Stegostoma tigrinum: one gene and its partners. The protein of the gene in region 2 purifies or fractionates together with the protein of the main gene of each other region. This does not show direct contact. Links are inferred from orthologs where the notes say so. Each region holds a gene or a part of one and is shown on either strand. Other genes may lie near its edges.

What was found.
Region 1: the proteins of cdc37 (region 2) and aurora kinase C-like purify together in Homo sapiens (affinity purification with mass spectrometry; 3 studies listed by BioGRID and IntAct, with this or other methods). This does not show direct contact. The link is inferred for Stegostoma tigrinum from reciprocal best matches to the Homo sapiens genes CDC37 and AURKA.
Region 3: the proteins of cdc37 (region 2) and yes1 purify together in Homo sapiens (affinity purification with mass spectrometry; 3 studies listed by BioGRID and IntAct, counting the BioPlex papers as one, with this or other methods). This does not show direct contact. The link is inferred for Stegostoma tigrinum from reciprocal best matches to the Homo sapiens genes CDC37 and YES1.
Region 4: the proteins of cdc37 (region 2) and ryk purify together in Homo sapiens (affinity purification with mass spectrometry; 3 studies listed by BioGRID and IntAct, with this or other methods). This does not show direct contact. The link is inferred for Stegostoma tigrinum from reciprocal best matches to the Homo sapiens genes CDC37 and RYK.

The regions. Positions count from the first base shown.
Region 1 is NC_081372.1:47,185,458-47,192,981, forward strand, and holds the start of aurora kinase C-like, read right to left. Parts: upstream 3,022-7,524; 5' UTR 2,909-3,021; intron 1,453-2,908; 5' UTR 1,438-1,452; coding exon 1,396-1,437; intron 1-1,395. UniProt on the Homo sapiens protein: Mitotic serine/threonine kinase that contributes to the regulation of cell cycle progression.
Region 2 is NC_081388.1:22,687,690-22,695,561, reverse strand, and holds the start of cdc37 (hsp90 co-chaperone Cdc37), read right to left. Parts: upstream 3,003-7,872; 5' UTR 2,912-3,002; coding exon 2,810-2,911; intron 1-2,809. UniProt on the Homo sapiens protein: Co-chaperone that binds to numerous kinases and promotes their interaction with the Hsp90 complex, resulting in stabilization and promotion of their activity. Inhibits HSP90AA1 ATPase activity.
Region 3 is NC_081358.1:79,796,581-79,803,830, forward strand, and holds the start of yes1 (tyrosine-protein kinase yes), read right to left. Parts: upstream 3,014-7,250; 5' UTR 2,664-3,013; intron 1-2,663. UniProt on the Homo sapiens protein: Non-receptor protein tyrosine kinase that is involved in the regulation of cell growth and survival, apoptosis, cell-cell adhesion, cytoskeleton remodeling, and differentiation.
Region 4 is NC_081367.1:1,145,001-1,152,103, forward strand, and holds the start of ryk (tyrosine-protein kinase RYK), read right to left. Parts: upstream 3,001-7,103; 5' UTR 2,894-3,000; coding exon 2,740-2,893; intron 1-2,739. UniProt on the Homo sapiens protein: May be a coreceptor along with FZD8 of Wnt proteins, such as WNT1, WNT3, WNT3A and WNT5A. Involved in neuron differentiation, axon guidance, corpus callosum establishment and neurite outgrowth.

The DNA of each region.
Region 1 (7,524 bases), on a different chromosome or scaffold from region 2:
CTAGGCCCGAAACGTCAGCTTTTGTGCTCCTGAGATGCTGCTGGGCCTGCTGTGTTGATCCAGCCTCACATTTTATTATCTTGGATTCTCCAGCATCTGCAGTTCCCATTATCACTCATTCTTAGATGTAATGCCTTAGAGAAGGCAATTTTTCAGAAGCATTAAGGTTTTGTATTACTGAACAATATCCAATCAGGTGCTGGATCCACTGCTTTTTGTCATTTATACAAGTGACTTGGGTGTGAATATAGGAGGCATGCTAAGTAAGTTTGCAGGTGACACCAAAAATTGGTGGTGAAGTGGACAGTGAAGGTTGCATCAGAATACAACAGAACGTTGTAAGGATGGGCCAAGGAGCAGCAGATGGAGTTTAATCTATATAAATAGAAGGTCCGACATTTTGTTGGAGCTAAACAGGACAGGGCTTACACAGTTAATGGCAAGATCCTAGGGAGTGTTGTCAAAAAACCTTAGAGTAGATTTATGGTTCCTTGAAGATGGAATCACAGGTAGACAGGCTAGCAAAGATGAAATTTGTATGCTTGTCTTCAAAAGTCAGTACACTGAGTATAGGAGATAATGGGAACTGCAGATGCTGGAGATTCCAAGATAATAAAATGTGAGGCTGGGTGAACACAGCAGGCCAAGCAGCATCTCAGGAGCACAAAAGCTGACGTTTCGGGCCTAGACCCTTCATCAGAGAGCTCTGAAGGGTCTAGGCCCGAAACGTCAGCTTTTGTGCTCCTGAGATGCTGCTTGGCCTGCTGTGTTCACCCAGCCTCACATTTTATTATCACTGAGTATAGGAGTTGGGACAGGTTGTGGCTACTTTTGAAATACTATATTCAACTCTGACCTCCTTGATTATAGGAAATGTTGATGAACTTGAAAAGCTTCAGAACAGACTAAAGGATGTTGCCAGGGTTGGAGGGTTTGAGTTACAGGTTGGGGCTGTTTTCCCCTGGTGTGTCAGAGGCCAATGGCTAACGTAATAGCGGTTTCAAAGGTCACAAGGGGTATGGATAGGGTGAATAGTCAAGGTCCCAGGGTAAGGGAGACCAAAACTAGAGGACATAGGTTAAGGCAAAAGGGAAAAGATTTTAAAAAGACAGCTTGTTCCACAGAAGGTGGTCATGTCTGGAACAAACTGCCAGAGGAACTGGAGGAGGCTGGTATAATTGCAACATTTACAAAGATATCTGGATGAATTATGAACAGGAAGGATTGAGGTTCATGGGCCACATGCTGGCAAAATGGGACGAGGTTTATTTGGCATGCATAAGTTGGACCAAAGATCTATTTCCCTGCTGTACATCAATGACTGACTACTAAGTTATTCAACAGTTTATTTCCATCATAACCATTAATTAATATTTCAATTGGCAGCAAAAATACCTTTCCAGCATGTCCTCCTTGGCTTGCAACCCTTTTTTCCATTTGTAATCTAAAATCCTGCAAGTGGAAATTAAAAAGTTATTATACTGTATTAGGCTATTTGTAATATTCTCTCTGGAGGTCAGGTAGCTGAAGGCTTGAATTTCCACTGCAGAACTTAAGCTATCAAAGCACAAGTCACAAAATATGATTTCCTGAATCCAGTAGAAGCAGCTCTGGGTAGCAGCAACCAAACACATACAGTTTCCTAGAGAAGTATTTTCTAGGTCAAAACCCACTGGGTATCTGTCCCAATGAAATAGCCTGAAACAAAACCCTGTGTGCTTAACAGAATTAAAATTTAGATCTATTTATGCACATATTAGCAGTTAACAAAGCCATTTCCTCCCTGTAAGTTTTCTCATTCGTCACATCCATAGACTTGTACTTGGTGGATAGAGATAGCACAAATTAGAAAACAGAAGTGTATAGTGATTCCTGCTGCATTTTATTGCAAGGGCTTGAATAAAAAAAACTACTACTGAAAAAGAAAATCCCACAAAACAGGACCGCCTCACACAAGTTAAAGTCTCAACAGCAGCCGCGTTTCATGCTGTAAATTATCCTCCTAACCCCACCAATCCAGCTGGTCTGTGCTGTAGCAGACATGTTTTTTGGCGATAGGCCAGCATCAGCACCACTAACGACAAAAGTCTGCGCAGTCACTGCATACTAAGAGTTACTCTGCTTTTTCTCCACAGACGCTATCAGGCCTGTAGAGTTTTTCCAAGCAGTTTCTGATTTTGATCCCATACGTTTCTCACGCCAATCTCCACACAAGAGTAAAAAGAGACAAAACTTGTAACTGATTGAAGTTATCATGCAGAGCCATGAGTAATACTAGATGAACGCTAAAACTCAAAGAAACGAATTTGCCACGCAATTAAATTAATCCAGCCTAAGAAAAAAAAGAGATTGCGTCCCACGATGTACCAGCAATATAAACTTCAGCTCAGAGCAAAGCAAGTGAAATTTTCTCGGCACCCATTAATATCTCCGAAGTGCTGCTGCTACTTCTAACAGAGTAGCCAGTATTGATCACTGGCCGAGTTAATATTAAGCCATTAAGAATTTGAAAGGCTAAGTAAATTACACAAATACACCACAATCGAATGCTACGTGGAAAATCCCAGCGGAGGAGTGATATGGCGTCTCGACATTCAGGGAAGACAGGGCTGAGCCCCCACTTTCTCATCCCCCAGCTTGACCTTGACACACAAGTTAGGGCATGATTGAAGGGCAAGGGGCAAGGGCAATGGGGAATATCTCTCCCTCAGATTCAGGGAGATTGGAGCAAAACTGAAGATGGCTACACCAGGGCCCCAAAGGCACAGGAAAGGGTAACCAGATCACGGTTAAGAACACAGACTATAGCGAGGTGGGAGGCCTTTTCCAGCCCCAGCACTGAAGAGGCGACGAACCAAAGTCCTCTCCCCAGGCCCCCAGACTACCCCCTCCTTTACAATCAACCTACCTCCCACTCTCTGCCTATCTCACCGCCCGTTTCACTCTGCTCCTTCTACCGTTTAAATTCAAATCCACCGCACTTTAAGCCCATTTAACAGAGCCCGCGCTTCAATTGGACGACGCCTGCCCGTCGCTCGCTCGCTATTGGCGGTTCTTCAACGGACTGCCGCAGGCCGACGGTTACGTCATCGCGTGCATGCGTACTGTCACGTGATGTGCCGGCGTTCCCTTTCTCCCAGCCTGGAAATTGACACATGCGCAGACGTAGAGGTGTCAGGAATTTGTGATTTGAATGTTACGCAAGGAGGTCATCTAGGCCTTTTTGCCTATAGTTTCCTGTAAAGCTGATGTTTACTTAGTTCTATCGTGTGTTCTTTTCCACCATATTTTAAATATTTATCGTTATCAGTCACATTTTTTAAACTGTTATGGATTTTGCTTCACCCACAGTTTCTGGTAGGCCATCCTCCTTTCCTGCATGAAAACAGAATATCTTAAACGGCCCCTTTCTTTTTCCTAAATATCTATCCTTTATTCAGTACTCAGTAAAAACGTTTTTTTTCGAATTTTTAGCAAGGCTTATGATTTTTAACATTAAATTTGAAAGGAAGAACCAGGAAGTTATTAATTTAGCCCTGAGATAGTAGGAACTGCAGATGCTGGAGAATCCGAAATAACAAGGTGTGGAGCTGGATGAACACAGCAGGCTAAGCAGCATCTTAGGAGCAGCAAAGCTGACGTTTCGGGCCTAGACCCTCCCTGGTGGGATATAAATTATTTTACTGTATTCCTTCTGATAAAGGGTCATGAACCTGAACTCTTTACAAATGACTGCTGAGTATTTAGTTTATTTTTGGCTGTGCATTATGTGTAACACAAGGTTCTTAATTCTGTATCATAATCACATTACCATAGAATCTGAATGTAAAGAACTGATACATAACAGCTTTGCTTTAATTTTGTTTCTCTCCTGCAGTGGAATGTGATGATCTTCTCCTTATCTATTCAAATCATTGCCATTTATAATTGTTACTGGATATATGCTCCCATTGTGAAACAAGGAAACCTGATTATTAGTTGTGTGCCTGGTCTCTTAAATATAACAATAAACCAGCAGAGATATTGCACATGACTTTATTTTGTTATCTTTGCCTTTGTGAAGGATTTTACAGGCTTTCATAAGAAACTGAGACAATTTATAAAAGTAATTAAAAAACTACGCTGGCCCTAGACCCCACCTCTTCCTCCGTAACATTAATGACTGTATCGGCACTGCCTCATGCTCCCACGAGGAGCTCGAACAGTTCATCCACTTCATCAACACCTTCCACCCAACCTCAACTTGACCTGGACTATCTGTAACATCTCCCTCAACTTCCTGGACCTCTCTGTCTCCATCTCCGGCAACCACCTAGAAACTGATATCCATTTCAAGCCCACCGACTCCCACAGCTACCTAGAATACACCTCCTCCCAACCACCTTCCTGTAAAAATACCATCCTCTATTCCCAATTCATTCGTCTCCACCACATTTGTTCCCAGGATGAGGCATTCCACTGCCGTACATCTCAGATGTCCTCGTTTTTCAAGGACTGCAACTTCCCCCCACGCAGTGGTCGAGAACACCCTCGACCATGTCTCCCGCATTTCCCGCACCTCATCCCTCACACCCCGTTCCCGTGATAACCACCAAAAGAGAATCCCCCTCGTCCTGACGTACCACCCCACCAACCTCCTGATCCAACGCATCATCCTCCGACACTTCCGCCATCTACAATCTGACCCCACTGCCAATGACATTTTTCCCTCTCCACCCTTGTCTGCTTTCCAGAAGGACCACTCTCTCCGGGACTCCCTTAACCGCTCCACACTCCCCTCCAACCCCCCCACCACATCCGGCACTTTCCCCTGCAACTGCAGGAAGTGCTACGCTTGCCCCCACACCTCTTCCCTCACCCACATCCCAGGCCCCAAGAAGACTTTCCACATCAAGCAGATGTTCACCCACACATCTGCCAATGTGGTATACTGTACCCATTGTGGCCTCCTCTACATCAGGGAAACCAAGCAGAGGCTTGGGGACTGCTTTGCAGAACACCTATGCTCGGTTCATGATAAACAATTGCACCTCCCAGTCATGAACCATTTCACCTACCCCTCCCATTCCTTAGACGACATGTCTATCCTGGGCCTCCTGCAGTACCGCAACAATGCCACCCGAAGGTTGCAGGAACAGCAACTCATATTCCGCTTGGGAACCCTGCAGCCCAATGGTATCAATGTGGATTTCACTAGCTTCAAAATCTCCTCTCCCCCCACTGCATCCCAAAACCAGCCCAGCCCGTCCCCACCTCCCTAACCTGTTCTTCCTCTCACCTATCCCCTCCTCCCACCTCAAGCCGCACCCCCATTTCCTACCTACTAACCTCATCACGCCCCCTTGACCTGTCCATCCTCCACGGACTGACCACTCCCCTCCCTACCTACGCTCACCTCTACTGGCTCCATCCCCGCCTCTTTAACTTGTCTGTCTCCTCTCCACCTATCTTCTCCTCTATCCAGGGTATTTCAGAACCCTCTCCCCTTCCCCCATTTCTGACGAAGGCTCTAGGCCTGAAACGTCAGATTTTCTGCTCCTAAGATGCTGCCCGGCCTGCTGTGTTCATCCAGCTCTACACTTTGTTAAAAACTGAAGCCTCTATGTGTTCATCTCATCCTTTGCACAATTTGTCGCATTTATGATCTTTCCTTGCAAGGGCGTTCGGGTCATATAGGGTCTGATATGTTGCTAAGTACAGGTTGGTATAATGCCTGATACCAGTGGATTTTGTCAGTGTTTTAGCTGCACTTCAGTGTACCTGAGTGTGGGGGATTGGAACCTAATGTGTGAATATCAGCATCAGAGAATGCATCTCCCTTTGACTATGGGGTTAGTTTACCTTCCCATGGTCTACTGAAACTGCAGCAGGAGGATTGCAGAAACCCAAAGGAAATGGCATTTACATTGCTTGATAACAGAGTGTTGAGCTGGATAAACACAACAGGCCAAGCAGCATCTTAGGAGCACAAAAGCTGACGTTTTGGACCTAGACCCTTCATCAGAAAATGATAGAGAATTCTGTACATTTGCTATCCTCTGAGTGAAAAGATTTCTGACCATCTCAGTCCGATATGGTTTGCCCTATATGCTGGAATTGTGAATGCCTTGGTTGGACATGACCCTCCAACCTCCCCTCATCCCCCACCAATCTTTTTTCTCACCCCCAGTCAGGGAAACCTCATCTCTACATCCAGTCTGTCCAGCCCTGTCAGAATGTTATACATTTCAATGTGATCCTCACTCATTCTTCCAAGCTCCAGTGGATACAGGTCTAGTTAGTTCAGTCTGTCCTCAAAAGACAAAGATGCCATTCCAGGAATCAGTCTGGTGAACCTTTGCTGCACTCCCTGTATGGGAAGTTTTTTTTATGTAAAAAGACCAAAGCTGCGAAGAAGATGCTGAGTGTGGTCTCAACCAACCCATCCATTGCTTATGAGACCTCTCAAAACACCAGCAATTAATCTGAGGTGCATGTACTCACTACCATCAAAAACATTTGGTAATGTGGGTGACATCAATATAGAATATGAAAGGTTTCTAAGTTTTGTTGTTTCATGATGTTTCAATAATTTGTCTTGCAAAGTGACATCTTCACAAAGCCTGCAGAGAATGAAGGGCTGCAGGTGTAACAAGGTAATGGAAGAAACCCTCTGCTGTGAGCTAGAAAAATATGTGCACCTGTCACACAAGAGACTGTCTTAGCTGAACATATATCCTCATTATGTCTACACTTAACACTCATGTCCATATTCTTACCTTTGAACACAATGCATAAAACTATCATTTATTTAACATTTTATTTTAAATCTTCCATGGAATATGGGCATTGCCCATCTTTTATTGCCTATGCCTAATTAAGAAGGTCGTGGTGAGCTGTCTTCTTGAACCACTGTGGTTCATGTGCTGAAAGTAGACCCTTAACAGTACTAGGGAGGGAGTGCCAGGATTTTGAACCAGCGACATTGAAAGAATGACAATATATTTCCAAGTCAGGACGGAGAGCAGCTTGGAGAGAAACTTGGACGTATTGATGCTCCCATTTAACTACTATCCTTGTCCTTCTAAATGCAAGTGGTCGTAGGTTTGGAAGGTGTAGTCTAAGGAGCCTTGGTGAATTTCTGCAGTGCATTTTGGAGGTTGCACATTCTGCTACTACTGAGTATCATTGGTGGAGATAGTGAATGTGGTACCAAATCAAATTTATCCAGGATCATATCAAGCATCTTGAATGTTAATGGAATTGCCCATATCCAGGCAACTGGGAACTGTTCCATCACACTTCTGACTTGTGTCTTTTCAAAGGTATCAGGAGGTAAGACAGTCCCTGCAGGACTCTTAGTGTGTTAATTTGGATAGTCCAGTTAGGTTTCTGGTCACTAGTAACCCCCAGGATATTGATAGTGGGAAATTCATGTTGAAGCCCATTTCCAGACTTAGACACGTACACTCAGCACATCCAGCAACTAGGGTGCAATTGTATTTTTAAATCTTCAAAAAATCCACTCCTACTACTTCCTACCAC
Region 2 (7,872 bases):
TTTTTACAACAATTGACAGTACAATGGTTACTATTAGTTTAGCTTTCTAATTCCAAAGTTCAAAACTTCACCTACCATGCCCCCAGAATATTACCCTGGGGCTCTAGATTATTAGTTCAGTGACATGGCCACCTTGCCAGTGAATATTGCTGTACAATGATCAAAGTCCCAGATTCAAGACTCTCCAGCCTCCTCTCCCCAAAGGTTAAAAGGAGTGGCACCTGTTTTGTCTGGAAACAGACCCCCTAATGAAAAGGCTAACGAGAAGGAGACTTCCTTTCTGAAGTCTGTGATTCGATTGTTCAACATGGTCCTTGTACTCCATCAAGGTCATTGTTTTTCAGCTTCATCACATCAGATCAGTTCCGGCATGACATGAATGTGTTCAACAACCTCACCATATCTGAAGCTTTTGTTCAACCAGCTATTCGCTCAGACTCACCAGATTTAAATAAACCAAGCATCTCAAGTTGGAACAAATGTACACAAGACTTGACACCAAGAAAACAAACCATTCCTACATACTTATCTATAGCTTCACTTTGAAGCCGAATGAGGGATTTCTGCTCAACATACATTGTGGAGGAAAGAATACAACAAGTACAAAATAAAGTATGCTGCTAACAAAGTTACAATATTCTGCTAGGAACCCAAAAACCACAATTTTCATCATTCTAAAAAACTGTGACACCAGAAAATTAACTATTAAAATGGTCCCAACTGATTTTAAAAGGCAGAGTAAGAAATAGTCATGCTGACCAATACAATTCGAGTGTTATATTTCAGGATTCAGTATGATCTTCCACAAGCTATGCTAGAAGGTGTTAACTTTTTATGGGAATACAGAATGACAAGAAAGAAAAAAAGAGTTTCTCTCAGCAAAAGATATTGGAGCAGAACTAGGCCATTCAGCACAGTGTGTCTGCTCCACTACTCAGTCATGGCTGATAATGTCTCAATACCACTCTCTTGCCTTCTTCCCTGATCCCCTCACTGATCAAGAATCTACCTGTCTTAAAGAGAAAGAATGACTAGGTCTCAACAGCTTTCAGCAACAATAAGTTACACAGATTCACCACCCTCTGGCTGAAGAAATTTTTCCCAGTCTCAGTTCTAAAGGGTTATCCCTTCATTCTGAGTTTGAGCCTCAGGTCCTCACCTTTGCTACGTGGTAACATCTTATCTACACCCATTCCATCCAGACCTCTTAACATTCTCCAAGTTTCAATGAGAATCCCCCTTCATCCTTCTGAAATCCATGTAGTACAGACTCAGACTCCTCAACCATTGCTCATACGACAAGCCCATCAGCCCTGGGGTCACTCCTGTCAGTCACCTCTGGACTGCCTCCCAAGACAATACATCCTTCCGTGGATACGAAGTCCAGAATTGCTCACAATACTCCAGATGTGGTCTTGCCAGAACTTTATACAAACACAACAGCACATCTGCACTCTGGTATTCCAATTCATTTGAAACGAAAGCAAATATGTCCTCCTAACTGTAAAATGAGCCTGCATGTCAACAGAATCCTGAACTAGGATGCCCAAGTCCCTTTGTGCTTCAGATTTCCGAAGCCTTTGGACATTTAGAAAATATTGTGCTAGCAACCCAAAACCGCAATTTCAAATCATTCTTGTTAGGAAATTGTGACACCAGATGATTAACAATTAAAGACGTCCAACTCATGTGAAAAAGGCAGAGTAAGTCACAGTTGACTCTCTATTCTTCCTTGTGTTGCATTTCACCAGCTACTTTGGTGCACACTCATCCAGTCGGTCCAGGTCCTTCTGTAGATTCAGCACCTCCTCAACACTATCTGCCTCCATCGATCTTAATATCATGTGCAAAAGCATAGACTATGGCCATGCGGTATTATTGCTGGACTGTTAATGCAGAAACACAAGTAATGTCTTGGAGACCCAGGTTTAAATCCTGTCACAGTAGATGTGGAATTTGAATTCAATAAAAAAATCTGTAATTAAGAGTCTAATGAAAATCAAGAAACTATTGTCAAGTGTCAGAAAAACCCATCTGGTTCAGTGATGTCCTTCAGGGAAAAGAACTGGCATCCTTAGCCAGTCTGATCTATACGTGGCTCGAGACGCAGAGTCATGTGGTTGACTCATAAGTGGTGTCTAGACAATTAGGATGGGCAATAAATCCCATCTCATCCCAAGCATGAATAAACAAAAAAAAAGACCAAATATGCCATCAGTTTCTTTGTTAATGCATGACATGAATAGCTGCGGTCCCAACACTGAGCTGTGAGGAAGTCCACTAGTCAGTGGCTGCCATCCTGAAAAAGGGCCCTTGAGCCCCCAACTCTGCCTGGAGAGCCAATCCCCTTTCCGTGCCCTAACACCATGGGATCCTACTCAGAGACCTGTGCAACACCTTGTCAAAGGTCTTGTGGAAATCTAAATGGAGGGATCAAGAATTTCAGGTAATGAAAGGAGTGTGGGCAGGGTGGGGGTGGACGAGGAGGTGGTGGTGGACGAGGAAGTGGTGGTGGGGGGTGGTGGACGAGGTGGTGGGGGGAGGAGGTGGTGGTCGGGGGGTTGGAGGTGGGCTGGTGGTGGTGGTGGGGGTTGTGGGGCGTCGCCGCTGGAGGGAAGGCTGTTGGGAGGTCGGACAGAGGGGAACGAAGTCTACCGAAGCGGCGGGGGGGTCAATCCGGGACTATTTGAAGGAGATGAGGATGGGGGGTGTATCAGGGCCCGGGGGTTTAAGAAGGTGATGGGGACGGGATAGATGGAAGCCGGCCCTGGTGGTGGGGGGAATGGAGGTGCCCGGCCCCGGAGTTTACCTGGTGCCGCCAGCGGAACAGGCTGGCCGTGTCAATGTTCGGGTGGGTGTCGTCCTCATCATCCGACACCTCGATATGGTCCCACACGCTATAATCCACCATCGTTTCCCCGTCTCCAATTGTCCCAGGCCCAGCTTCTAGAACACTCGCTGGGCCGCCTCTCTACACGTCACTTCCGGACACACGTCACTTCCGCCGACTGTCACCGCCCAGCTCCATGATGTCAACGTCTCCCTTGTCGGGACGGCAAAACCAGTCCCGAGGATCAGAGATAATGGGAACTGCAGATGCTGGAGAACCCAAGATAACAAAGTGTGGGGCTGGGTGGACACAGCAGGCCCAGGAGCAGACCCCGGCCCCAAAAATCAGTCCCGCCCTAAAATCAATCCCGCCCCAAAATCCAGTCCCTAAAATCAGTCGCGCCCCAAAAACCAATCCACAGGATCGGAACCCCTACCAACATCCAGTGTACAGGAATTAGACCACCCCAAAAACTGGCCACAGGAATAGACCACTCCAAAAACAGTCCATAGGATCAGACACCCCCAAAAATCTATCCGTGGGATCAGACACCCCCCAGAAACCAGACCACAGGATCAGACCCCCCCCTCAAAAACCTCCAAAAACCAGTCCACAGGATCAGTCCCAGCCCAAAATCCAGTCAACAGGCTTATACCCCCTCCAAAAACCAGACACTACGAACAGAGCCCCCCCCCGCCAAAAAACCAGTCCACAGGATCAGACCCCCTCTCAAAAACTAGTCATCGGGATCAAACACCTCCAAAGACCAGTCCACAGGATCAGATCCACCCCAAAAACCAGTCCCTAGGATCAGACACACCCCTCCCAAAATCCAGTCCCAAGGGTCAGACAGCCCCTCCCAAAAGCCAGTCCCAAGGATCAGACACACCTCTCCCAAAATCCAGTCCCAAGGGTCAGACACCCCCTCCCTACAACCAGTCCCTAGGATCAGACACCCCCTCCAAAAACTAGTCCCTCGGATAAGACACCCCTCCAAAACCCAGTCCCGAGGATCAGGCACACCCCCAAAAACCAGTCGCTCGGATCAGACAACCCCCCCAAAACCCAGTCCCTACGATCAGACCCCCTCCCAACACGGAGTCCCTCTGAATCAGACACCCCCCGACAAAAACCAGTCCCTTGGATCAGACCCCGCCCCATTAAACCATACGCTCGGATCAGACAACCCCCCAAAAAACCAGTCCCTCGGATCAGGCACCCCCCCAAAAACCAGTCCCACGGATCAGACAACCCCACCCCAAAAACTAGTCCCTCGGAATCAGACCGCCCCTCCCAAAAACCAGTCCCTCGGATCAGACACTCCTCCCAAAAACCAGTCCCTAGGATCAGACACCCCCCTCCCAAAAAGCAGTCCCTAGGATCAGACACCCCAGCCAAAAACCATTCCCTCGGATCAGACCCCCCCTCCCAAAAACCAGTCCCTAGGATCAGACACCCACTCCCAAAAACCAGTCTCTAGGATCAGACACCCCCTCACAAAAACCAGTCCCTTGGATCAGACACCCCTCCCAAAAACCAGTCCCTAGGATCGGACCCTTCCCCCCAAAACCCAGTCCACACGATCAGACACTCCCCCCACAAAAACCAGTCCCTCAGATCAGAACACCCCAAAACCAGTACCTAGAATCAGAGATAATGGGAACTGCAGATGCTGGAGATTCCAAGATAATAAAATGTGAGGCTGGATGAACACAGCAGGCCAAGCAGCATCTCAGGAGCACAAAAGCTGACGTTTCGGGCCTAGACCCTTCATCAGAGAGGGGGATGGGGGGAGGGAACTGGAATAAATAGGGAGAGAGGGGGAGGCGGACCGAAGATGGAGAGTAAAGAAGATAGGTGGAGAGAGTGTAGGTGGGGAGGTAGGGAGGGGATAGGTCAGTCCAGGGAAGACGGACAGGTCAAGGAGGTGGGATGAGGTTAGTAGGTAGCTGGGGGTGCGGCTTGGGGTGGGAGGAAGGGATGGGTGAGAGGAAGAACCGGTTAGGGAGGCAGAGACAGGTTGGACTGGTTTTGGGATGCAGTGGGTGGGGGGGAAGAGCTGGGCTGGTTGTGTGGTGCAGTGGGGGGAGGGGATGAACTGGGCTGGTTTAGGGATGCAGTAGGGGAAGGGGAGATTTTGAAACTGGTGAAGTCCACATGGATACCATATGGCTGCAGGGTTCCCAGGCGGAATATGAGTTGCTGTTCCTGCAACCTTTGGGTGGCATCATTGTGGCAGTGCAGGAGGCCCATGATGAATCAGACCAGTCCACAGAATCAGACACGCCCCTAAAAACCAGTCCATAGGGACAGACTCCCCCCAAAACCCGGTCCCGAGAATCAGAACTCCCCAAAACCAGTCAATTTGATCTGATCCCTCCAAAAATTGGTCCATAGGATCAGAACCCCCTCAAAACCCAGTCCTTCGGATCAGACGGCCAAAAAAACAAGTCCATAGAATCAGACCCCACAAAAAACAGTCACTAGGATTGTAAACACCCCCGCCAAAACCAGTCCACAGGATCAGATCCACCCAAAAAAGAGTCCCTAGGATCAGACCCACCGCAAAAACCAGTCCACAGGATTATACCACCCCAAAAAAACCAGTCCCAAGGATCAGACAGCCCCAAAAATCTATCCGTGGGATCAGACTCCCCCCAGAAACCAGACCATAGGATCAGACCCCCGCCCTCAAAAACTAGTCATCGAGATCAAACACCTCCAAAAACCAGTCCCTAGGATCAGACACCCCCTCCCAAAAACCAGTCCCTCGGAATCAGACACCCCATCCCAAAAACCAGTACCTAAGATCAGACACCCCCCGCCCAAAAACCAGTCCCTAGGATCAGACCCGCCCCCAAAAACCAGTCCCACAGATCAAACCCCCCTCCCAAAAACCAGTCCCTTGGATCAGACCCCGCCTCCCAAAAACCAGTCCCTAGGATCAGACACCGCCCTCCCAAAAAGCAGTCCCTAGGATTAGACGCCACCCCCAAAAACCAGTCCCACGGATCAGACACCCCTGCCAAAAACCATTCCCTCGGATCAGACCCCCCCTCCCAAAAACCAGTCCCTAGGATCAGACCCCTCCAAAAACCAGTCCCTAGGATCAGACCCCCCTCCCAAAAACCAGTCCCTCGGATCAGACACCCACCAAAAACCAGTCCCTCGGAATCAGACACACTCCTCCGAAAAATCAGTCCCTCAGAATCAGACACCCCCCCCCCCACCAAAACCAGTCCCTTGGATCAGACACCCCCCCCCTAAAAACCAGTCCCTCGGATCAGACACCTCCAAAAATCTATCCGTGGGATCAGACACCCCCCAGAAACCAGACCACTGGATCAGACCTCCCCCCTCAAAAACTAGTCATCGGAATCAAACACCTCCAAAAACCAGTCGCTAGGATCAGGCACTCCTCCCAAAAACCAGTCCCTAGGATCAGACACCCCCTTCCCAAAAACCAGTCACTCAGATCAGACCACGCCCCCCAAAAACCAGTCCCACGGATCAGACACCCCTCCCAAAAACCAGACTCTCGGATCAGACCCCTCCCTCCCAAAAACCAGTCCCTCGGATCAGACACCCCTCCCAAAAACCAGTCCCTAGGATCAGACACCCCCTCCCAAAAACCAGTTCCTCGGATCAGACCCCTCCAAAAACCAGTCCCTCGGAATCAGACACCCCCCTCCTAAAAACCAGTCCCTAGGATCAGACCCCCTCCCAAAAACCAGTCCCTAGGATCAGACACCCCATCCCCAAAAGCCAGTCCCTCAGAATCAGACCCCCGACAAAAACAAGTCCTTCAGAATCAGATCCCCCTCATAAAAACCAGTCCCTCGGATTCACACACCCCCCTCCCAAAAACCAGTCCCTTGGACCAGAACCCCCCTCACAAAAACCCGTCCCTAGGATCAGACCACCCTCCCAAAAACCAGTCCACAGGATCAGACACACCCCCCCACAAAAACCAGTCCCTAGGATCAGACCACCCTCCCAAAAACCAGTCCACAGGATCAGACATACTCCCCCCCCACAAAAACCAGTCCCTAGGATCAGACCACCCTCCCAAAAACCAGTCCACAGGATCAGACACACCGCCCCCCAACAAAAACCAGTCCCTAGGATCAGACCACCCTCCCAAAAACCAGTCCCTAGCATCAGACACGACCCCAAAAAGCCAGTCCACAAGATCAGACTCTCCCCCCACAAAAACCACTCCCTCAGATCAGAACTCCCCAAGACCAGTACCTAGAATCAGACTAGTCCACAGGATCAGACACGCCCCTAAAAACCAGTCCATAGGGTCAGACTCCGCCCAAAAACCTCTCCTGAGAATCAGAACTCCCACAAAACCAGTCAGTTGGATCGGATCCCTCCAAAAATTGGTCCATAGGATCAGAACCCCCCTCAAAACCCAGTCATTCGGATCAGACGGCCAAAAAAAGTCCATAGGATCAGACCCCACAAAAACCAGTCACTAGGATCATACCCCCCCCCAAAAGCAGTCAATTGGATCTGACCCCCTCCCAAAAACAGTGCATAGGACAGAACCCTCCCCGCACAAAACCAGTCCCTAGGATCAAACTCTCCCCATAAACCAGTCCAGAGGATATAACCCCCGCAAAAAAGTCCACAGGATCAGACCGCCCCGCACCCCCCCCCCCCAAAACAGTCCATAGCATAAGACCCTCCCAGAACCGGTCAAGAGGATCAGATCCCCTCAAAAAACAATCAATAGGATCTGACATTAAGCCCCACAAAAAATACCAGTCAATAGAATCGGAACACCCGAAAACCTGTCCCTAAGATCAGATCCCTCTAAAAAAAACCATTGGATTAGAACCCCTCGAAAAGACAATCAATAGAATCAGACACCCACCCCAAAAAAACCCAGTCAATAAGATCAGAAGCCCCTAAAACCAATCCCTAGGATCAGGTCCCTCTAAAAAAAACAATCTATAGGATCAAAATCCCCCAAAAGACAATAGGATCAGACACCCCAAAAAAAGCCAGTCCATCGGCTCAGACCCACCCCCAAA
Region 3 (7,250 bases), on a different chromosome or scaffold from region 2:
GAAAAGTGAGATGTTATATAAAGAACCCGGTTTTCTTTATTAGAATACAGGAATACACCATTTTAAGAAATAAATATGCCCCAGGAAACCACTACTTAAATTGAAGCTACTTAGATGAAAGTAGATTTTATCACCTAAATGTATCACATATGAGGAGATGCTTTTACAATCCAAGACAAATGCCTTCATTATAAACATTAAAAACAAAACAATATAGTTAACTTTCTACACTAGCAGTCATGTGACAAACAAACAATCAGAACAAATTTTGCTTTTCCCGATCACTATGTCCATGACGCTTCAGGGATTACCTACTCTGACATGTACAACCGATCTGGACATTGATCTCCATTAATGGACAGCTTCGCAACCATTGTCTCCTTTCTGCAATGCTGATGACCACTCTCCAGATGAACAGATTGCTGACCAGGGCTGTCTTGCTCACAATGTTCTGTTTCACCATCATATTGGAAGTCCAAGAAATTTGTAATTTGGAAGTGATCAAGGCTGGAGCTGTCAGGCACCTTGTCAACCTCCTGTGGCTCTGATCTCCAAGAAATTGTACATCACTGTCTAAAGAGGCTTTAACCATTCCTCTACTAGCACTGTTACTACAATGGACCATGAAAGCAAGCATTAGGTACAGCAAATAGTTAGGAAAGTAAATGGCATGCTGTCCTTCATTGCAAGGTAGGCTTAGTGTGGCTGTAAAGCACCTTCGTGAGACATCACTTACAATAGTGTGTGCAGTTCTGGTGGCCTCATTTAAGGAAATTTACAATTGCCAGACAGGGAATACGGTTAAAGGTCACCAGACTGATTGCTGAGATACAAAGTTTGTCATACGAGAAGAGATTGGGTTTAGAAGAATAAGACTGAATCTCAGTGAAGTGTGTAACATTATGACAAAGCGGGGTTCCTACAACAATGGCACATGGTTTTCAGATACAGATTAAGGATTTTTGGGCTGAAAGCAGAAAAATGACTTCAAGAAGTGGTAAACATATACCATTCTCTATCATGTAACACTGTGAAAGTGAAGTTGCTAAGTAATTTAAAAAAGAAACAGATAAGTTACCAGACACAGGCATTAAAGGGTATGGGGAGGGAGCACAAGGGAATGACATTAAAAAAGGATCAGTCATGGTCATTTCAGACAATATACTTTTGGTCTAATTTCAATGCATAACCCTCAGTCCAGATCCATTCTAAGGTATCTTGATCATCAAGGTCAGGGACAAAGAAAACCAAAGCCCAAGTTGTTTCATTCAGCTGGATACTATGAAAACAGTCAAGTTTTACACTCATTCTCAACTATTTCATAACAAGGCATTAAATATGTGGAACCAATAGCTAGATGGTAATTTAACGGCTTAATAACACTACTCAAGAGTGTATGGATGAACAAGGAACAAACAAATTACTGTGAATTTTAACATGTTAAAACTTGCATATTTCAAAATACAGGCCATGTTATCATTTAAAAAGATCACGAAATACATTTTATCATTTGGTCCTAAATTAACTGGTTCTCCCACTTTAATAAGTTATATCCGACCAGCAAGTTGAAAACTATTTTAATGAGTGTGTACTAACTGTGGCTTATAAACCCATAGTTAAATCAGACACCCATGAATGACTAATGTTGTATATAACAAATATGTTTAGGGAGGGGTTTCTGCTGTGACAAACCTAATTTAACCAAAGCAAATAACTTACACAAGTCTTAAATAGATGGGTACACCAAAATCAGTAAACATCATACAACAATCCACAAGAACAGAACCAGTTTTTCCAGAAACAGTTATGCATTCCAACTTTTAGAAGTCCATGTCAGGAACGTACACTTGTAACTTCAGAAATTTTCAGCAGTAAAAATCACTCATTTTGCATCAATATGAGGCACAATGACACGAAGGTACCTAACCTGAAAGCCAGATTTTTGACAGACTTGAATAATTCACACAATCCGTTGAAATGCAGAATTGAGGGATTGCTGCATTACTCAAGGTACTGTCTTTTAAATAAAAGATATAACCAAACTGCTTCTATTATCCAACATGTGGATGTAAAAGACAGAGGGGCAGGGAACTCTTTGGCATAATGACATTCAATCCCTGCATCGACAACAACAAATATTAATTGGTCACTTATTTCAATATGCCATTACAGAGGATTTGTTCTGCACAAATGGATAGGTACGGAGTGGAAACTTGAGTGGAGAAATTAGCAAGTGGGATTAAAATTCATAGCCTAGCTGGAGATTAGCAACCAAAGGTGAGAATGGAGAATGGGGTGACATAACGGTTAGTGAAAATAGGATAGGATGAGGTGGAGGTGGGATAGGGATATGAGGAGGAGTCAGGGTGGGTTGGGGATAGCGTGTGAGATGGCAATAGATTTGAATGGGGCAAGGGAATTTGTGGGACTGGGGGGCTGCTGCAGGGGAGGAGAGCGAAAATGGGAAGCGACAGTTGAGAGAACGCGGGCGAGGGCTGATGTTGGTAGGAGGTGGAGAGGCAATGGAGGTGGAGTAATCGTGGATTGAGGAGTATGGAGGATGTGGAAGGGGTGAAGTTGGGGGGGGGGGGGGGGTACAGACCCTTTCCGGAGACAGGGACTCCAGTAGCTCGCAATCAAAACCGGGCCAAGGCGTCACTCACCTGCTCTCCAGTCGGGACTCGGTCGTCTCCTCACATCCACATCACTTTAACAACTCTTCTGGCAGCCGAGTGGAGAGGACGGAGTGGCTCCACCAAATGATCCGATCAGCTCGGCGCTAGGCCCGACTCACAGGTCCTCCGTTATCATCATCATCATCATCACCTCATTCCCGAGCCAGATCCACACGAAACAAACAGCTAGAACCGAACTTAAACCTCCCAAACACAAGATCCGTATTCCAAATCTAAACCATACTCACAGCAGCGCCGACTATCTTAAAGATGCAAAGCTTTCACTACAAGATGGCGGCTCCTCAGGGAGCAGAGACCGCCTCCGCCTTTGCCCCGCCCTTCCACCATCGGCCCGCCCATATGGCCCCACCTCTTCCACCAGCTGCACCGCACGCACGGCTCCGCCCCCTCCACCGTCGGCCCCGCCTCCTCGGCCCGCCCTCATGATCACGCCCCTTCAACACCAACCCAGCCTCGGCTTCGCCTCGACCGCGGCCCCGCCCCTCCATCTTACGTCCTGCGTCACTCCACCCCCACTGCTCATGGCACTTCCGCCTCTATCCACTCGCCCAATATCCCATTCGTGGACCTGCAAACCCGCCCAGACACGCCCCTTAACTAATGTCTCCAGTTGTGATCCCGCCCCACCAGCTTCGGATCCGGTCCGCACCGCACCCTGTCCCCTACAACGACGAACTGCTGGATGTTTCACATTTTGCCGTTGTTGTTCTTTTGTTAATTAAACAGGTTGGATGAGGAGGTGGGAGTTATAGTGATGAGGAATGCAAAGATGAATGTTTGAAATTTGACTTGTTAGTGAACAGAGAATCAGTGTAGAGAACGAGTGATAGGCGAATGTTGAAGATAAGTTCACGTTGAAGAAGTTTGAAGGCCAGTGAGGACAGTTTTGCAATAGTCACGCCACTGGGTCTGGTTCTGAAGGATGTGGGAATAAATGAGACAGACAAGGGTTGAGCAGCTTCCTTTCGAACCATAATTCCGTAACTCTGGCATTCTGTCTTGGGATATTTGTGTGTTGAAGGATGCTGGGCAACCTATTTTCTGATGAAAACAGATATTACTGGAAAAACTCAGCAGGTCCATTTTGGAGACAAATCAGAGTTAAAATTTCATGTCGCGTGACCCTTCGTCAGAACCTATTCTCTTTTCCATCTGAGTGTAAGAGGACATCTGGCTGTTTTCACAGTACTTTTAATTTTACAGTTGAAGATTGTAAAATAATAACAAATCATGCTGGAGATCTGAAACAAAGAGAAATTGTTGGAGAAATAAAGCAGGTCTAGCAGCAGCTGTGGAAAGAAAGCAGAGTTAACATTTTGAGTTTGGTGACTCTTCATCAGAAACGGTAGCACCTAGAAAATCTGGTATTTATCCAGAATCTGGGTGAAGGGGTCTGGGTAAGGGGAGCGGTGAATGGATAGTTGGACACAGAGCCCAGAGGGAGTGAGACAAATATGAAAGAGATAGGTAAATGAGGAGATTATTGATAGCAGGCGAGAACAGAAGAAAACCTGAATAAGGGATAATGAATAGCTAAGAATGAGAAAATGGGTGAGCTGTTCTGAGTGCAACACATATATGACAATAGGCCCAGAAGTACGTGAGAATGAGTGACTTGTGCTAAAAGTAAACTATATCATAACAGAACTGGATATGGAGCATGTCATAAACAATGAAGATGGAATCATGCTCTCTGAAGTTATCAAATTCACTGTTGGATCCTAGAGACTGCAGGATCCCAAAGTGAAAAATAAGATGTTGTTCTTTGAGTTTGCTTTGAGGCTTGCTGGGACCTGCAGCAGGCCTGCAATAGAAACATTGGTGTGGGGCATAGAGGTTTGTTGAAGAGGCAGGCAGCTGGAAACTCTCCTGTGGAATGTGGCATCATCAGAGCAAATGTGAAGAAAGAAAAAGAAACTGGGAAAATGAGATGGAGCCATTACAGGAAACGGGGTGTGAGGATGTATAATTGAAGTAACTGTGGAAGTTGGTGGGTTTGTAACAGATATTGGTGGCCAGCCTATACCCAGAAATGGGAACTGAGATGTCAAGAAAGGGAAGAGATGAATCAAAGATGGAAGGGATGAAAGTGAGGACAGGGTGGAAATTGGAAGCAGAATTGATACATTTTTCTAATTCCAGATAAGAGGGGGAAACAGCACCGATGATGTCAACTATGTACCAGAGAAAAAGTTATGGGTGGGGGCCAGAGTAGGAATGTTCCATGTACCCCACAAACAGATAGGCATAACTGGGACCCATAGCCACATCTTTAATCTGAAGAAAGTGACAGGAGTCAAAGGAGGAGTTGTTCAAAACGAAGATGAACTGTGCCAGACAAATGAGGATGGTGGTGGATGGAGACGGTTCAGGCCATCTTTCCAGGAAGTTGTGGAGAACCTTGAGACCATCATGATGGGGAAATAGGCATTAAGTGGATACATGTCCGTGGTGAAGAGGAAGTGGCTGGAGCCTGTGAACTGGAAATTTTGAAACTGATGTAAAACATCACAAGAATTGTGGATGTAGGTGGGGAAGGACTGAACAGAAAAAATTAAAAATCAGGAAGAGGTTCTTAATGTAACTTTATGCAATTTATTGTGTAATAGCAATCAGGTAGTTAGCCATTGCTATTCAGACAATTGGGATACATTGATGATAAATCTGCCTCCTTCCAAATCAGAGCTGTTCTCCCAATTTCCCTATCCAGGACTCCAGACCATCATCAGGTTGTGTGTAGCTAATGCAGCCATCTTTAACCCTTTTAGAACATTTACCTTAGACAATTGCAAATGCTTTGAACCTTAATAGATCTGGGACCAAAGTTCTACAAAGTGTTTTGCTAATGCTTTGGCACAGGCTTTAAACTGATTTGACCAGGGGAATGGGAATGAGGATGTAAGGTTAGGAAGGATAAACAAAGGTGCACAAATTGGTAGGAGCAGATGACATAACATTAAGAAGTAATATTAGAAGTCATAATAATAAAGTCTTAGGTCAGGTCAAGATATAATAAAATACATTTTAAATCTGGCCTTGTCTGATGTTGGATGTTCTTGCTGTAGTTCAGTGAAGGTTAATCAGGCTGATTCCATGCATGGCGAGACTGATGTAACAGGAGAGGTTGAATAAATTTGGATTATATTTGCTGGAATTCAGAAGAATGATTGACTATTTCATAGAAACCTATAAAATGCTAACAGGACTTTACAGGGTAGATGCAGGAAGGATGTTGTTGATGGTGGGGATCCCTAAACCAGTAGTCACAGTCTAATGATGTGAGTTAGGTCTGAGAAGAGAAGATATTTCTTCACACAGCAAGTGATGAGCCTGTGGAATTTACAATCTCCAAAAGCAGTGGAGGCCAAAACAATGTGTGTTATAAAAGTGCCAGAAGTATTAAAAGGCATAGCTCTAGCACTGAGAAGGTCAAGACTAGCAAACAGATGGAGACAACGCCATCTGCAAGTTCCTCCTCCAAGGTCTAACTTGGAACCATATCTCTGGGCCAAAAATCCTGTACTTGTTTCCAGCAGCACTCTGGATGTATTTATACTACATCACGACAGCAATTCAAGAATATAGCTCATTTCTGCTTTCTGAAGATCAGTTAGCAATGGGTAGCAGATGCTGCCTTTGTTGACACTACCCACATCCCATGAGAGAATTAAAACAATTAAAACATCCAAGTGGGGCGATGGAACAGGGTTGAACGTAGACAAATGAAAGACAACCTTGTTGGAACATTTAAGATTCTCAGGCAATGATCAGGGTAGATATGGAAAGGTTGCATCCTCTTGTGGGCGAGTCTAGAACTAGCGGGCCTAGTCTCAGAGTAAGGGATTGTCCATATAAGATAGAGATGAGGAATGTCTTCTGTCAGAGGGCAGTAAATCTGTGGAATTCTTTACGACTGAAGACTGTTAGGGCTGAGTCATTAATCATATTCAAGACTGAGATAGACATTTCTAATCAATGAGGGAATCAAGAGTTATGGAGAAATGCCAGGAAAGTGGAATTGATGATTATTAGATCAGGCACAATCTCATTGAAGGGTGGAGTAGCGTAGCCTCGTTGAGCTGAATGGCGTACATCTGCTCCTATGACTTGTATTCTTATGGAGACCTGAGGCTATACATGCACAAAATCAGTGAAGTTGGTAAGACAGATTAAGAGAGTAGAAAAAAAAGTATTTATGAGTTTCTGTGCTTTGTAAATAGAGGCATATAGAGTACAAGAGCAAGAAAAAGATATGATCTTTTGTAAAATTTTGGGTTGACTTCAATTGGACTTGCGTCCAATTCTGGACACTGCAACTTAGAAAGGATGTGAAAACTTCAAAAGAATGATTTCAGGATTACAATTAGTTTGGAGCTTAAAGAAGAAATTTCACAGAAATGTTCAAAGGGTTGATCATCTGGTATGAATGGAGAGAAACCCCTGCCACTGGCGTCAGGTTGACAATCCAAAGTTACTGAAATTAGGTGAGTGGTAAGAAAAGAAACAACATGAAAAAAAAATCTTCGTTAGCAGCAAGTAGTTAGAATTTAGTAT
Region 4 (7,103 bases), on a different chromosome or scaffold from region 2:
TTAATCGTGAGCCTCACCCTCTTCTACTGACCCCTTCCCCTGCCTCCAACACACCCCCTCTTCCTGGATATCACCCCAAGGCCTCCTATCCTCCCTCAACCTCTTCGTCTCCAACTCCTGTCGAGACATCAATCGCCTCAACCTCTCCATCTCTCTCACCCTGTCCAACCTCTCCCCGACAGAATGCACAGCCCTCCACTCCAATCCCAACCCCACCATAAAACCCACAAACAAGAGAGGCGCAGTTGTAGTATGGCGCACTGATCGCTACATCGCCGAGGCCAGACACCAGCTCTCTGACACCTCCTCCTACCGCCACCTTGATCATGACCCCACCCCCCGACTACCAAAACACCATCTCCCAAACCATCCACAACCTTATCACTTCAGGTGACCTCCCACCCACAGCCTCCAACCTCATTATTCCCCAACCCCGCAGCGCCCATTTCTATCTCCTTCCTAAAATCCACAAACCTGACTGCCCTGGTCAATCATTGTCTTCTCCTGCTCCTGCCCCACCAAACTTATCTCAACTCTATTTTCTATCCTGTGGTCCAGAAACACCCCACCTATGTCCTTGACACCACCCATGCCCTCAACCTCCTCCAAAACTTCCAATTCCCCAGTCTCCAACACCTCATTTTAACATGGGCGTACAGTCCCTATACACTTGCATTCCCCATGCAGATGGCCTAAAGGCTCTCTGCTTCTTTCCCTCCCACAGGCCCAACTAGTCCCCCTCCACTGACACCCTCATCCACTTAGCTGAATTCATCGTCAACAACTTCTTTTTCAATTCCTCCCACTTCCTACAGACAAAGGGGGTGGCCATGGGTACCTGCCTCTTTGTAGGTTACATGGAACAATCCCTCTTCCATAGCTACACTGGCCCTAAGCCCCACTACTTCCTCCGTTACATTGATGACTGTATTAGTGCTGCTTCATGCTCCCACGGAGGAGCTCGAACAGTTCATCGATTTGACCAACACCTTCCACCCCAACCTTAAGTTCACCTGGGCCATCTCTCCCTCCTTCCTGGACCTCTCTGTTTCCCTCTCTGGCAAACACCTGGCAACAGATATCCATTTCAAGTGCACCGACTCCCACAGCTACCTGGAATACACCTCCTCCCACCCACCTTCCAGCAAAAATGCCATTTCCTATTCCCAATTCTTTTGCGTCCACCACATCTGCTCTGAGAATGAGGCATACTACTCCCGAACATCTCAGATGTCCTCATTTTTCAAGGACCGCAACTTTGCACCCCGCCCCAACCAATGGTTGAGAACACCCTTGGCTATGTCTCCCACATTTCCCGCAACGCATCCCTCACATTCCCCCACACCCCACCCCACAACAACAACCAAAACAGAATCCCCCTCGTCCTCATGTATCTCCTCCAACCTCTGGATCCAAAGTATCATTGTCCGACACTTCCGCCATCTGCAAGCTGACCCCACCACCAAAGACATTTTTCCATGCCCACCCTTATCTGCCTTCTGGAGGGACCACTCTCCCCGTGACTCACTTGTCCATGCCACACACCCCTCCAGCGCCACCACACCCAGTATTTTTCTCTGCAACCGCAGGAAGTGCTACAACTCCCCCCTCACTTCCATCCCAGGCCTCAAGAAGACTTTCCACATGCATGTTCACCTGCACATCTGCTAATGTGGTATACTGTATCTGCTGTTCCAGATGAGGCCTCCTCTGCATCGGGGAAACCAAGCAGAGGTCTGGGGACTGCTTTGCAGAACACCTACACTTGGTCCACAATAAACAACTGCACCTCCCAGTCGTGAACCATTTTAACACCCCCTCCCACTCCTTAGATATATCCATCCTGGGCCTCCTGCAGTGCCACAACAATGCTACCCAAATGTTGCAGGAACAGCACCTCATATTTCACTTAGGAACCCTGCAGCCCAATAGTATCAATGTGGGCTTCACAAGCTTCAAAATCTCCTCTCTACCTATGGCATACCAAAACCAGCCCAGCTTGTCTCCACCTCCCTAATCAGTCCTTTCTCCCACCTATCCTGGGACACTACTCGTCCCACCTCAAGCCCCAACCCCATCTCCTACGTACTAACTTCATCCCACCTCCTTGAACAGTCCGTCCTCCCTGGACTGACCTATGTTCTGGGTGTGAGTTTGCTCGCTGAGCTGGAAGATTAGTTTTCAGACGTTTCGTCACCATTCTAAGTAACATCATCAGTGAGCCTCCGACGAAGCCTATGTTCTCCCTAACTCGCCACCTCCAATCACCTTTACTGGCTCCATCCCCGAATCCCTGACTTGTCTGTTTCCTTGCCCACCTATTTTCTCCTCCATCCATCTTCTCTCCGCCTCCCCCTCTCTCCCTATTTATTTCAGAATCCCCTTCTTCTCCTCCCCTTCTGGAGGAGGATCTAGGCCCGAAACGTCAGCTTTCCTGCTCTTCCGCTGCTGCTCGGCCTGCTGTGTTCATCCATCTCTACACGTTGTTATCCCCTCAGTAAGTATTTACTAAGGTTCTTTAGGCAGTAGCATCCACACCAACGACTACCATCGATCCCCTCTCCCCTAGCCCCATACCCGTTTTCCTCGTACCCACTGCCGTCTCATCAGGTCCTGCCCCGTCTCTCCCCGCCTCCCACAGGCCACGCCCCCAACATCCCCCCCCCCCTACCCAAACCCCAGCAGATACGACGCCCACCCTCCACCCGAGCCCCAATTCTCCCGTGGGCCCAGACGCACCGATCAGCCGCCGCGTCTCCTCCACGCTCAGGTAGACGTTGACCCCGGGGCCGCCTCGACACACGGTGTCCGAGCAGCAGCTCCACAGCACCAGCAAGGCCCGCCAGAAGTTCATGGATGCGCCCCGGCCAGCAGCGGCGGTGGTACCCGCCATTGCTGAGCGGCGTTTTCCTGATTCTGTGTTCGTTACGGGCTGTTACACGCGCCGGGGATCGACCAACCGCCTCTCCGTTCCTCCATGGCCGCGTCCAACACGGCGCGCATGCGCCAGGGCCGGATCCGTTTACTGAGCATGCGCACTCGCTGGCCCTGGCAGGCAGTTGGCATGTTGGTTCGTCCCTGGTTTGATAGGTTGTCTCTGAACAAAAGATGTCTGTGCAGGTAGGAACCACCAAAGTACTGGTTTGAAGGGATTTTCCCCAAATAACAGCGGGTAGGGGAAAGGCGTGAAGCGTGAAGTCAGACATGCGTGCAATAAGGGTTAAATTTGTTCGGGTAATTTTACATCTCCAATACCTAACTTACAAACCTGCCAGAAGAAAAGTATTGAAGCCTGAGCATTGGGAACGTTTTATACTTCATCAAAATGAGAACAGAGAGGTCGACAGCACAGAATATGACAATAACGCTACAAGGAAAATAAAATGAGTAAAATTGCGGATGATGTGAAAGTTTCTTTTAATGTGTGAAGAACCAACAGATTCGTAAAGACAAACATAGGTCCTCAGAAGGCAGCAGCTGGTCAAATTACAGTAGAGCAGAAAGAAATATAAGAATTGAACTTGTACTTCAAGTCTGTTTTCATGGAAGGAGGCATAAATAACTTCCTAGAAATGTTAGGGGATCAGGGTCTAGCGAGAGGATAGAATTGAAGTATATCGTTATTAGAAAGACAATGATGCTGGGGAAGTGAATGGTGTTAAAGGGTGACAAATCACCATGGCCCAATGATCTATCATTCACTGACTCCATCTATACATCTACCAAAAACCCCAACCACCCATTTAAACTCTCTTGCACTATCTTCTGTTGGGCAGGAGATATTGAAATTTGAATAAGCATATAAACAGATTCAAGTACAACTTGTTCCTGCTGTTATCAGATTTTTGATGGTCCCCTCAAGTGTTGATTCTGAGCTCATTCTCTCTCCACCTCCTCTGTGGTTGTAATACTGTCTTCTGCAATCTGTCTGCCTTCCAGGTGCACTTTCTATGGTATGGACTGCAAAAGAGCATTTTTCACTGTATCTTGATACATGTGACAACAATACATTGAATAATAAACTCCAGAATACAAAAGGAAGTGGCCCTGGAAACATTAGATGCATGCTGGTTAGCTTTCAAATTCTATAGATTTTGGAACAGTCCCTACAGATTGAAGAGTGGTAAATGTCGCCACTGCAAAAATGGATGGAGAGAAAACACAGGGAATTATAGACCAGGGAGCCCGACATCAGTAGTGGGCAACACACTATGGTCCATTATCAAAGATTTTAAAGCAGAACATTTAGAAAACAATAATTGATCAGACACAGTCAGCATGGATTTACAAAAAGGAAATTGTGCTTCGCAAATCTAAAAAAATTTCTCCAGGATACAACTAGTAGAATGGATAAAGGACAGACTGTGCATGTGGTGGTTTTGGATTTTTTGGAAGGCTTTTGATAAGGACCAATGTAAGAGATTAAAGGGGAAAATCAAAGCACATGAGATTGGGAGTATTGGGGACAGGAATACACAAGGATAACAGAGATAGCAAGTCAAAATAAATCAGCCCTATAATCACTGGATATGCAATAGAGTGAAATTAAAATATTCAGTGACCCTCAAAATACCCAATTGTTCCTAAACAGACTTTGTGAAGATCAGATCTAGGACACCAAGATTGTAACTTAAAAATTAACAGTTTATAATTAGTACTGTAACTTTTTACAGAACAATACTAAACAACAATGTAATCTAATGAATATCCATGATTTAAACACAACTTTTTTTGTTTATAATCAACAGTCTCACACCACCTGGCAGACTGACAGACAGAATTAACAGATAAATTGAAAAGAAAGCAAAAATTATAATTTTCCACTTCAGTTTGAAATCTCACAACACCAGGATATAGCCCAACAGGTTTATTTGAAAACGTGCTTTTTGAGCCTCACTCCTCCTTTAGGTGTTAGTAAAAGAGGTAGTATTACACACAGAATTTATAAGTAAAAGATCAAAGTGTCTGACCTTGTCCACTCCAGTCCAACACTAGCATCTCCACATCACCACTTCAGTTAACCAGTTTCAAACAATAGACATCAAGCCTTCATGCAATCCCTGGACAAGGAGTTATTCACGGGTGTGTGACTACAGGTCTAATTTCAAGATAATTGGTTAATATTAGCAGTTTCAGTAGACTTCCTAATTGTTTACTTTTTTCCTCGCAGACTGTGATTCTTTTGTCTGAATATTCAACAATTCTTTAGATTAGATTCCCTACAGTGTGGAAACAGACCCTTCGTCCCAACAAGTCCACACTGCCTCTTGGCGCATCCCACCCAGACCCCAACCCCTGATAACCCACACACTCTGAACACTATGGGCAACTTAGCATGGCCAATCCACCTAGCCTGCACATCTTTGGACTGTGGGAGGAAACTGGAGCACCTGGAGAAAACCCACGCGGACATGGGGAGAATGTACGAACTCCGCACAGACAGTTGCCCAAGGCTGGGATTGAAACCAGGTCCCTGGCGCTGAGAGGCTACAGTGCTAACCACTGTGCCGCCCCAATTTAACTGGATGCAGAATAGTACAGAAGCTTCCAAAATCACTCTGCACCTCACAAAACCAAACAGAACTAGTTTTCTTTTTTTCCTTTTTGGATCAATTATCTCTTTGGGTGCTGATTAGATTCGGTTCTCTTTTGATTGACCAATTCAACATCTGACTAGCTGCCAGCCCTCGGCATAGCAATGCTTGCTGCCAAATCATCTACAGTATTCCTTACATCCACAATTAGAGTCATAGAGCTGTACAGCACAGAAACAGACCCTGCTGTCCAACTCGTCTATGCTGAAAAGATATTTTAAATAAATCTAGGCCCATTTGCCCACGTTTGGCCCATATTGTCGAAACACTTCCTGTTCATGCACCCACACAGATGCCTTTTAAATGTTTTAATTCTACCAGCCTCCGCCATTTCCTCTGGAAGCTCATTCCAGACATCACGACCTTCTGCATGAAAAAGTTGTCCCTCAGGTCCCTTTTAAATATTTCCCCTCTCACCTTAAACCTATGCCCTCTAGTTTTGGATTCTTCTCCCTGGGGAAAAAGCCTGGTCTATTTATTCTATCCATGCCCCTCATGACTTTATAAACCTCTGTAACGCCATCCCTCAGCCTCTGACACTGCAGAGAAAATAGCATAAGCCTATTCAGCTTCTCCCTGTCGCTCAAATCCTTTAAAAACAAAGTTGTTGGAAAAACTCAGCAGGTCTGGCAGCATCAATGAAGGAAAGAAACAGAGTTAACAGTTCGGGTCAATGGACACGAAACGTTAACCCTGTTTTTTCCTTCACAGGTGCTGCCTGACCTGCTGAGCTTTTCCAGCAACTTTGTTTTTGTTCCTGATTTGCAGCATCCACAGTTTTATTTTTGGTTCTCAAACCCTTCAACCCTGGCAACATCCTTGTAATTCTGTCTGAACCTTTGCAAGTTTCAGAACATTTTTCCGAAAGCAGGGAGACCAAAATTGCGCTCAGTTTTCCAAAAGTGGCCTAACCAATGTCCTGTACAGCTGCAACAGGACTTACCAACTCCTTTACTCAATGCACTAACCAATGAATGAAAGCATATCAAACTTCTTCTTCACTATGCTATCAATCTGTGATTGCACTTTCAAGGAACTATGAACCCACACTCCGAGGTTTCTTTGTTCAGCAACACTCCCCAGGACCTACACATTAAGTGCATAAGTTATGCCCTGATTTGCCTTTCCAAAATGCACCACCTTACATTAATCTAAATTAAACTCCATCTGCCAATTGTTGGCACATTGGTCCATCTGATCGACCAGGTCAGTTGTCAACAGCAAACACATACGTTTGTTTTTTTTTTCACTAAAACTCACAACAGTTGAAAGTTTAAGAAATCCAAATCTCAGTTCATGTGTGCGCCAAAAAAGAGAAAAATAAAAGAAAAATCACGCAGGTCTCTACAGTAACATCGAGGCATGGATTGAAATTTGATTGACGGGAAACATAGACTGGGAATAAATGGGCCTTTTTCCGAATGGAAGACTAGTGAGGTACAATAATAGTCAGTACTTGAGCCCCAGCTATTAACTTCATATGAAAATGACCTAGATGGGGCTGACAAC